3 linked regions of the Macaca mulatta genome follow. The protein of the gene in region 2 interacts with the protein of the main gene of each other region in a pairwise test. Links are inferred from orthologs where the notes say so. Each region holds a gene or a part of one and is shown on either strand. Other genes may lie near its edges.

What was found. The genes of interacting proteins can lie anywhere in the genome.
Region 1: the proteins of VENTX (region 2) and DAB1 interact in binary tests that used the Homo sapiens proteins (3 or more experiments, as listed by UniProt). The two-hybrid records come from large-scale screens. The link is inferred for Macaca mulatta from reciprocal best matches to the Homo sapiens genes VENTX and DAB1.
Region 3: the proteins of VENTX (region 2) and TBX15 interact in binary tests that used the Homo sapiens proteins (3 or more experiments, as listed by UniProt). The two-hybrid records come from large-scale screens. The link is inferred for Macaca mulatta from reciprocal best matches to the Homo sapiens genes VENTX and TBX15.

Annotation. Positions count from the first base shown.
Region 1 is NC_133406.1:183,611,459-183,615,114, reverse strand, and holds part of DAB1 (disabled homolog 1), read right to left. Parts: intron 1,041-3,656; coding exon 492-1,040; intron 1-491. UniProt on the Homo sapiens protein: Signaling adapter of the reelin-mediated signaling pathway, which regulates the migration and differentiation of postmitotic neurons during brain development.
Region 2 is NC_133414.1:145,338,321-145,341,162, reverse strand, and holds the end of VENTX (homeobox protein VENTX), read right to left. Parts: intron 2,612-2,842; coding exon 2,451-2,611; intron 2,370-2,450; coding exon 1,989-2,369; 3' UTR 567-1,988; downstream 1-566. UniProt on the Homo sapiens protein: May be involved in ventralization.
Region 3 is NC_133406.1:121,385,796-121,389,451, reverse strand, and holds part of TBX15 (T-box transcription factor TBX15), read right to left. Parts: intron 549-3,656; coding exon 447-548; intron 1-446. UniProt on the Homo sapiens protein: Probable transcriptional regulator involved in the development of the skeleton of the limb, vertebral column and head. Acts by controlling the number of mesenchymal precursor cells and chondrocytes.

The DNA of each region.
Region 1 (3,656 bases), on a different chromosome or scaffold from region 2:
AAATTTTTAAAGTTTGCATTCACTTTTATTTCAAGAAACCACACCAAAATCTATGTGTCATAAGCTGGCTATACATAAATAAATGAACGAATGCATGAGTAAACTAACAAAATCTTAAGAAGCAGAGTAATACGGTGGAAAAATACTAGGCTTACGTTCAGTTCAATACCACTTTGTCTATTGTCTTCAACCTTGAGCCTCACTTTCATTATCCATCAAACAGGTCTAACAAAATTTGTCATTAAGCATTATTATAAGTCTAAAAATAAACATGGAACATATGAAGAAGGTTTGTATGTTATCAGTGGTACCTATATTTGTAGCTCTTAGTAGTAATAGTAGTAGTAATAGTAGCAATAGTAGTAATAGTAATATAAACAAAGAAGCCTGATTAATGCAAGCGAGATGAGTTATCTGACCCCTGAAACCCTACCTCCAGACATAAGTTATGGCTCTCATTGGGTTTTATGTCTTAAGTGAGGGGCACTCACGTGAGTTGGTCGATGGTGTGGTAGAAGTCACAGGGGTCAAATTCAACTGGGAGATGTCAAAGTCATCACAGTCGTCTGTATCCTGTGCCACCCCGACTTTGTTGAAGTAACTGGAGAAGGCCTCTGAGGTACAGGTGAGGGAGGGCTGGTCGGGTTTGCGGGAGGGCACGGGTGGAGGCTGGGCCATCTGGAAATCCTTAAATGTTTCTTTCCCCATTTTCTGCCTGGGCTTGTCGGTCTGTGGACTTGACCTGGTGGAGTCACTCGTGCCTGGGACGGTGGCAAGGGGGGTGAGGGGACCTTGGAACATGGCAGCTGGCAAAGGCATAACAGTTTGTGTGGGCATGAAGGCGGCTGGCGGAAACTGCCCGGCCACAGTTGGCCAGGGCTGCTGAGTGGCAGGGAAGAGACCCGGCTGGCCCCATGCGATGGGCTGAGCCCCCGGCATCACCTGAGCGACTGGTGGCTGGGCACCCATGACCATCTGCTGTTGGACGAGGGGCTGCTGGCCCCAGAAGGACGGGAGGACAGCGCCCATTGCAACGTAACCTGGGAGAATGAAAAAGAAGAGTCAGGTGTCCTGAGAAAGAAGGATGCATGGACTCAGGTAATTGACAGAAATGTATCAAGCACCAACTAAGTGCCAGACTGTGTGCCAGGGACTGGGGATGCCAAGATGAACAAGACAAAAGTCCTTGCTGTCTTGGAGCCTATATCCTAGAGAAGTGGTCAGGGAAAGCCTCTCTGAGGAGATGATCTGTAAGCAAAAACTAGAATGCTAATAATCACATTTCTGTAGTTGTTAGAAGTTTCTAAAGTCTCATAGCCTCAGAAGCTGTGTGTCTCAGGGACAGGGCAGAAGGACGGAAGGCAGGCCGTCCTGGGTTTTCTCCTTGCCTCCTCTTCCTGCTGCACTTAGGACCCTCTCAATTGCGTAAGCTCTTTAAGAGTCTGACTCTTTGTTGTAAAACCAGGTTATAATACCGTCCTTCGCAGGCCTGAGGCAGTGTGCAAAGTGAGTAATAATCTGAATGTTGGAGTTTTAGAGACCTAGGTTAAAATTCAAACAGCCACCTCTTAACTGTGTAATTTGGGGAGTAGTTCTTAAATCTCTCTAAGGCTCTATGACCTTATTTGTAAAATGGGTATAAACACCTTCTACCTTGCTAGGTTGATTTGAAGATTAATTGAGAGTACATATTTAAAATGTGGAGTATTGTACCGGACACAGGATCAACATTCAGTAAATGTTAGTTACTAGTATGGTTTGGATTAGATAGAGGCTAGAGAGTTACTTATTACATTGCTTGATATACAAAAGACATGTAATAAATGGCAGCTAGAGGTATTATGCATGATTTCTGTATTATTATTATTCCAATTTTGGAGAATTAAAAAAATAGGGCCAGATGTGGTGGCTTATGCTTGTAATCCTAACACTTTGGGAGGTCCAGGTGGGAGGATTGCTTGAGGCTCAGAGTTTGAGATCAGACTTAGTAACACAGCAAGGCCTCATCTCTACCAAAAATTTTTAAAAAGTAGTGAGGAATGGTGGCACATGCTCAGAGTCCCATTGTCTCAGCACTCAGGAGGCTGAGGCGGGAGGATCACTTGAGCCCAAAAGTTTGAAGCAGCACTGAGCTGTGATTATACCACTGCACTCCAGCTTGGGTAACAGAGTGAGACACTTGTCTCAAAAAAAAAAAAAAAAAAAAAAGAAGGTTATTGTCCACTCAGGGGCACCTCATACATCAGTATAAGTTACACACTGCAAAACCCCATAGCCTGTACTCATGTGTATTACCATGATAATTGTTCACTGTATTATTCTTTTTAGGTAAGACATATACATTTTAACAGGAGCACAAGTGACACGTGTTACAATAATAATAGTAACATAGCAGTAACAGCAACAAGCTCCACTTATTAAATGCCTACAACATGCCAGATACACTAGTATGTGTTTTGCGTCTTCACGAAATTCCGGCAGGGTAGGTATTGTTATCTCTATTTTAGGGATGAAGAAATTGGTGCTCAAGGAAAAGCAACTTGCTCAGGGTCATACAGGTTGCATGAGGTAGGAGCAGGATCAAACTGAGGTTGTCTGTTCCCCCAAAGCCAGGGTTCCTTCCTTTGTGCCACACACTGCCTCACCCAGATGGCCAAGACCAATTTCCGATCTTTGCAGTTAATAGACCTTGCCTACTATTTGATTGTATTTGGATACTGCAGGCCTGCAGGAAATTCACATGTGCTTCCAGGGGTCCCCACCCTTCTCAGGGGGCACAATGGCCACCTCTATGTGCAGTTGAGCCTGAGAGACAAGTTCCCAGGCTGGGCAGAGCAGAGAATAGAGAAGCCAGCTTTGCCTGGGCCTCTCAAAACAAGCCTTTCCATGGCTGTCAGTAGGAAGATACCGATGCAGTGTAATGAGACCAGGAAAAAAAGAGGAATGGAGGCAGAGTATCCTAGCAACTTCCAAAGGGACAATGGGTGGGCGTTATGGCATTGATGACATTATGAGTCATCTCACTGACTCTTGTGAGCCCAGAGAGATGGAACGCAGGGTGTCTCACTCCATACTCCAGTCACAGATATACCTGCCTTCAACTGACTGATACAGGCTAGAGCCAACATTCAAGGCCTGGTGATTTTCCTTGCAAGGTGCCCGTTTCCTCTCATGCCATGCTTCCCTAACAGCAGGCTCCAGAAAGGCACCAATAGGACACCTGTGCTTCTTGCTGATTAATCTCGCAGTGTTAAATACTTCTGCGGAATGAGACAAGGATGTCAACAAAAAAAATGGAGAATATCTTATAAGACTACTTTGTCCAACTGCACTGAAGCAAGAGGGATGAAGAGGCCCTGGAGCTGAAACTTCAAACGTGAAGCTTGCTTAGCTTGCCTCACCCATGGCATGATAATGTAGTGACTTAAATCTACCAACAGATGAAGAATCCTGCAACTCAGTCTTGTTTTCCGATTTACTTTGATATGTCCCAGTGGTTCTCAGTGGGAGTACTACTGCCCCCTAGGGGTGGCTAGAAAATTGGTGGGACGTGTTTTGGTTGTCACAAGTGGAGGGGGTTACACTACTGGCATTTAGGAGACCCAAGCATTGACAGTAGACATCTCACTATGTGTGAGACCAATGCGTATGACAAA
Region 2 (2,842 bases):
GCCAAGTCCCTGCAGCCCCGGATGGGGAACAGGGAGGGAAGTTTGGAAATCACTGGTGGCAGAGCCTTCCCTGGGCCTGAGGGCCTTGTGGACCCCCCGGAACTCAGGGTCTAGGCCCCTGCTGGGCACTTGGAACCCGCTCCACTCCTCAGCCTCCGGGACTTTGTCCTTTTCCAGAGCTCCTCATCTGCAGGATGGAGCCAGGGCCCTAAGAAGGTCCAGGTGTGGCTCTGAACAGGCCCAGCTCTGCCCCAATGGGCTGTCCCCCTTGTAGGGCCCAGTGTGCTGACAGGACGTCAAGACAACACCGGGCCAGGGCCCTTACTCACCGGGGGAGTTCAGGGCCAAGACTGTGGTTTGCGGCCCGGGGCCACACAGGGGACCGGAGAGCAATCCCCAAGGGCGGCGAGGGGCTCTTGTACTTTTATCACGGATGTGCCCCCATCCACATCCACAAATCAGTGCTGCCCAGGCCCCACCAGGAGCCCCTGTCCAGCCCCTGCCCTCCGAGGGCCTCGCCCAGGCTTCCCTCACATGGTCACTCACCAGGACGGACGCACAGCAGCTGTTCTCCTCTTACCTGGTGTATTATAAAATCACATCCAGCTGTAAACACTTCCAACAAGGCAGAAGCGAGCAAGGGGAAAGTGGAACTCGCTGTGGACGCGGCCGCAGGACCACGCTTCTGCTCCCGTTGGGGTGCCCGGGTGGGTTTCACAGGTCGCAGTCCTGCAGGCTGAACCTGTCGCCTGGGCGCCCCGCACTGCCTGCCCCCGGGCACTCTGAGGCGACGTGGACGGACGCTCACTTGTCTAAGTTTCCACACATGCAGTCAGGAGTCTGCACCAAGAATGGTCCATCGATGGGGGAGTTCTCCCTGGGAGGGGCTTCCCAGCCTCCCATTCTGGGCACTCCCAGACCTTCTGCAGGAAGTGCTGTCCTTGAGTCATTCTGTTTTGTCCCGAGGCTGCTGTGAGGAGGGGGCAGGTGAGCTGGTGCTGGAGGGCGGGGACCTGCGGGACAGCTTCAGTCCAGGCACAGCCGCAGGTCCCAGCTGCCCCACCTTCCCCGGCTGGAGAAGAGCCCCCAGCAGGCCGTGGGCAGTCCCGGCTCACGCACCGCCCAGAGCACACTGCAGGACCCCAGCATCCCCGCCTTCATTTTCACCTGTTCCCTCCTGCTTTCCAGCTTTGGAGTTCTTGTTAAGAGGGACTTGAACCACAAGGCTGTAAACACGACACCTGCATTCCCTTCCAATCCTTCCTGGTTTTCTTTTTTACACACAAAGCTTACCACCTTTACTGTTTCCAACTGGAAAACCAGTTTTTCCAACACTTTTTAAAAAACAAACGATCCTTTTATCGTACGCTGAAAGCCCTACCCATGACAAGCCCACTTCTGCATCTGACTCTGTTCACTGACCCTTCATTTACTTCCTAAACCGACCCTTTTGGTAACTTTCAGTGAAGAGGTGGCTTTAATAAATATATTCTCAGGGCCGGGAGTGGTGGCTCACGCCTGTAATCCCAGCACTTTGGGAGGCCAAGGCGGGCGGATCACGAGGTCAGGAGTTCAAGACAAGCCTGGATAACATGGTGAAATCCCGTTTCTACTAAAAATAGAAAAAATTAGCTGGGCGTGGTGGCGTGCGTCTGTAATCCCAGCTACTCAGGAGGCTGAGGCTGGAGAATCGCTTGAACCCGGAAGGTGGAGGTTGCAGTGAGCCAAGATCACGCCACTGCACTCCAGCCTGGGCGACAGAGCGAGACTCTGTCTTTAAAAAAAAATACATATATATACACATATACATATATATAGAGATAGATAGATACATACATATATATCTATTCTCCAGAAATCTCCAGAATCTTTGTGTGGTCAGGGTGAGAGGCGCCACCACGATGTAAACACAACAGCTGAGTCCTCCAGGTAGGAGCCAGGTGCAATCCGCAAGACCGTGAGCGTGGGAGAGAGTCAGAGGTGCCTCCTCAAAAGGCATCCCCTGTCTCCGGCAGAGCGCACAGGCCCCAGGGCCCCGTGGACAGGGCTGGTCCCGGTGCAGGCAGGCCACTTCCTGTGGTTGGGGGGTGGTGCGCCAGAGGTTGCCTGCAGCAGGAAGCCCCCGTAGAGGCCAGGGCCTCCTGTTCCACTTGGCAGAGACCCCAGAAGGAGCCCGGGGGCAGCATCAGAGCCTGGGGCCCAGGCAGGGGTGCCCAAGGGCACAGCAGCTGCAGGCCATTGGCAAGGCCAGAAGACGGTGAGTGGAAAGCTGGGGGCACGTGGAGAGACCCCAGGAAGGGGCTGTTCGGCGGGACTTCTTGCATTTGCCGTTTGTGTTTCATCCGGCGATTCTGAAACCAGGTTTTTATCTGCAGGAAAACCAAAATCAGAGCAGGGGTGAGACTAGGCCACCGGCCCACCCTTGCCCACCTCAGCCCGGCCCGCCTCACCTGGACCTCTGAGAGCTGCATCTCCCTGGCCAGCCTCTTCCGCTCAAGAGGGCTCAGGTACTGGTGGTGCTGGAAGACGCCCTCCAAGGTGCGGACCTGCTCCGTGGTGAAGGCTGTGCGGACACGGGGGCCCCGCAAGGTATTTGGCTCCTTACTCAACCCTGGCATAGAGGGTGAGAGCATTTGGCTGAGCCTGCCACCCCATGGGGCAAGCCCCGCCCACAGGTAACAGGTGAAGACAGCATGCTGGGGGCTGGGCAGGGCAGATCTTCTCACCTGACAGTGACCAGCAGCCCTGCCGCAGCCTCCAGGTCATGTGCGTGCGGAAAGGGGCTGAGAGAGGTGACTCAGGGGAGGGAGAATGCTACCAGCAGCTTGGGCCTGCCCTCCGC
Region 3 (3,656 bases), on a different chromosome or scaffold from region 2:
GAAATTTTACCCAGTTCTCCTGTTCTTCCTCTCCATCATCTATGGGGTAATCCATCAAATATACATTTTAATATGCTTTATTGTTCCACCTCTCCTTCCTCTTTCCAAAATAAATCACCCCAATTTATTTAGCATTTCACAAACCAAATTATTCAATATGTTAATCACTTCCAATATTAATTAAATTAAATTTAGACTTAAGATCCACTTGATTTTTGCTACCTTGGGAGACACTATACAGTCCCATTCTATCCAGAGACATAGCAGGGAATCCCAGGTCAAAGTTAACACTTTTTCCACCTGGTGCTCTGCCACAGGCCATTGACATAGTCTCCATTCCTTGTTCCCTGTACAGTATGCATTGTTAAAATATTTCCTCTAAGGAGTTTGAAGAATTGTCTTGGAATGCTGGTGTACCCACATTTCCACATCCCAGTTATTGTTACCTGTATCTCTTATTGTCCACAGGCACAATATCCATTGCTATGTAGTACTGCTGATGTGGATCTAGGCCAGTGATTTTCACTCTCATGGCAGGAAACATCCTCCTATATAGATGAATAAAACAGAAAGCTCAGAAATCAGAATGGGAGAAGTAGCAGGGGTAAAAGCTAAAACAATGTTTTTTGTTTTTGTTGTTGTTGTTGTTGTTGCTGTTTTTTGATACGGAGTCTCGCTCTGTCACCCAGGCTGGAGTGCAGTGGCACAATCTTGGCTCACTGCAACCTCCACCTCCCGGGTTCAAGGGATTCTTCTGCCTTAGCTTCCCGAGTAGCTGGGACTACAGGCATGAGCCACCATGCTCAGCTAATTTGTGTGTGTGTATGTGTATGTTTAGTAGAGACGGGGTTTCACCATATTGGTCAGGCTGGTCTCAAACTCCTGACCTCGTGATCTGCCCGCCTCAGCCTCCCAAAGTGCTGAGATTACAGGTGTGAGCCAATGTGCCTGGCCTAAACAATGTATTCTTATTAGATACTCTAAGCACATCAAATTCTAATGTCCTCTAATTCTCAAAGTTGGCCAATTTTTTTTCACTTTGGAAATTATCACTACAAAATATACTGGAGACTTATACTACTGAACTAGTATCTCTTCTTAACTTAAATTGACCTATTTGATGATTCATACTCTCCAAGGGTTCAACCCTGCTTTGTATTTTTAGTTAATCTTTGTTGTGATATACATGTATACATAGGCATTTGTGTGGACGTGTGTAGCCAGACATACATTTCCTATTAGCTATAATCTTTTCTTTTTTATATATACTTTAAGTTCTAGGGTACATGTGCACAACGTGCAGGTTTGTTACATATGTATACTTGTGCCATGTTGGTGTGCTACACCCATCAACTCGTCAGCACCCATCAACTCATCATTTGCATCAGGTATAGCTATAATCTTTTTAAAGGTTAGTACAGCAACTTACACTCTTCTTATAATCCAAAGAGCTTTTCAGTTTATTGCAAGTTACCATAAAATATTTTCAACTGAGTTTATTTGAAAATGACCACTCTAAAAATAGTCTCTCAAGTAAAAAAGAAAAAAGGAAGGTGTGACCAGTCTCCAAACAAAGAGCCACCAAGATTTTTTAATGTGTAAAACTGTAGAAAATTTTCTGCAAGTTCTCAGGCTGTCAACGTGTGTGTCAGAAGAAGGACCCTGTGGAATTGGAAGCAAATACCAAATGAATTCTCGTGGCCTCTGGGCAATACCTTGTTTCTACCACAATGGCTTGTTAAACTTGCCAAAGCAAGTGAGGTCAGGATATGGCACTTTACAACTTCTCTCATAATTGAAGAGAGGAGGAGACAGAGCAGCCCAAAAGAGGTATTGAGTTTCAATAAGTCTAGAATAAAGTTCACCATTCTTCTTTAACCATAAGAAAGAAGAAAAACATCAAGCTCAAGCTCTTTTGTATCAAGCCGGACATAAAAAGTCCTCAGTTCAAAAATTTGGATTGACCTGAATGTGCTCGAGGCTACTTGTATGCAAAATGTTGCATTAAGCTTAACCATCTGGGGCTAGTTAGTCAAGCTGGGCAGAGCACAGTGCTAATGAGGTCAAGGTCACAGGCTTGATCCACATATGGCCTAATTGGCTTTGCTCCATTTCATGGCCATAGACCATACCCTGACCTCAGACAGCCATCTTGCAAATAGGTACTGGTTGGTCACAGGAGAGGCTCTCTGTGCTAGTTACACACTCACTACTCATCCAGGAAAAGCAACCCAAAAGGCTAATATCCCCTGGCAGTAGGTCAGTGACATCATAATCATATCTGAGGGAAAGCACAAGAAGGATCACAGTCCTGTAATAGAGATGGTGGCTAATTGTTATATAGTTACAAAATTAATATGTAACTATTTCATCTTTCTCACCTTATTACTCTTCAGAAGCTTCTATGGGTATATCATTTTAAAAAGATCATTTCTCCCCCTACCCTCACAATTTTTATTTAAAAGCCTCATACTTTTGTCTTATGGTGGGCTAATGAAATTTGATGATGGGATACTCATACTGACTAAATCTAACATTCACTATAGGTTAGGCACTTTAATTTGCATTAATTAATTCCAAAAATTTGGCAACCTTAATCTATACATTTGAATACAGATAAGTAATTCCCTTCTTAATAACACAGATTTATAGCTTCCCTCTATATGTAAATGTTTGGAGGGCATCTTGCCAGAGATAGGGCAAAAGTCCTCTCACTTATTACCTGAGATAAGAAAATATGGTTTCCCCCCGTCACCTAGAGAGGCTGTATTACATGAAAAAGAGAGACTTCTTTTCTTCATAACTTTACAAAGAAAGATGTTAGATTTTTAAATTCAGTATCTGTTTTGTCTGGAACAGTTATATGACCTTCAATGGAGAAGCTACCCATCTCTTTCCAGTATCCAGCTTCTAAAATGAATGAACTATGTGACTTTGGATAAGTCATTTAACCCCATCACCTATAAAACAAAGGAAATCGACTAGATAATCTCCATGGTGCCCCCCCTCCCGGCTTTAAAATTCTGTGACTACCTTTGAATTCTCTTCTTAAAATCTTTGCGAGTCTTTTTTTTCTTTTTGTCACATTTTAGCATAGAATATCAAGTGAAGTCACAACATTCTAAAGGAAAGTTAATCTTTCATGTTTTATAAAAAGAGATGTGTTTAGTTTTAATTTTATGGCTAAATTTAGGACAGTTCTTTTGTCTTCTAAACCCATTAATCCTTGCAAGCACCTCTGTCCATGGTGCTGATTATGCAGGTTGGGTTGGTACACTCAAAGACTAAGGGCTCTATAGACTTCAGTAGCTCTGAATCAATAGGATCACAGTTCGGGGTGTGGGAGGAGGTAGATGTTGACGAAGATCATCTAAGTGAGAAAAAGGAGAGAAAGCCATATATAACTAACATAACTAAGAAGATGGAGTTTGGAATTAAAATGGAAAATAATACTGACAATACTGTACAGGAAGAAAAATGAGTGAGAAGCAAGAAATCAACCAGGAGAATGAGAAGGAATGAAGAAAATTCACAGAAGAGAAAGCCTTATTTGTATGATTCTGAGTTGTTTCAGAATTACCTGAAAAGAATTAGATGTAGTAGGGCCGGGCGCGGTGGCTCAAGCCTGTAATCCCAGCACTTTGGGAGGCCGAGGC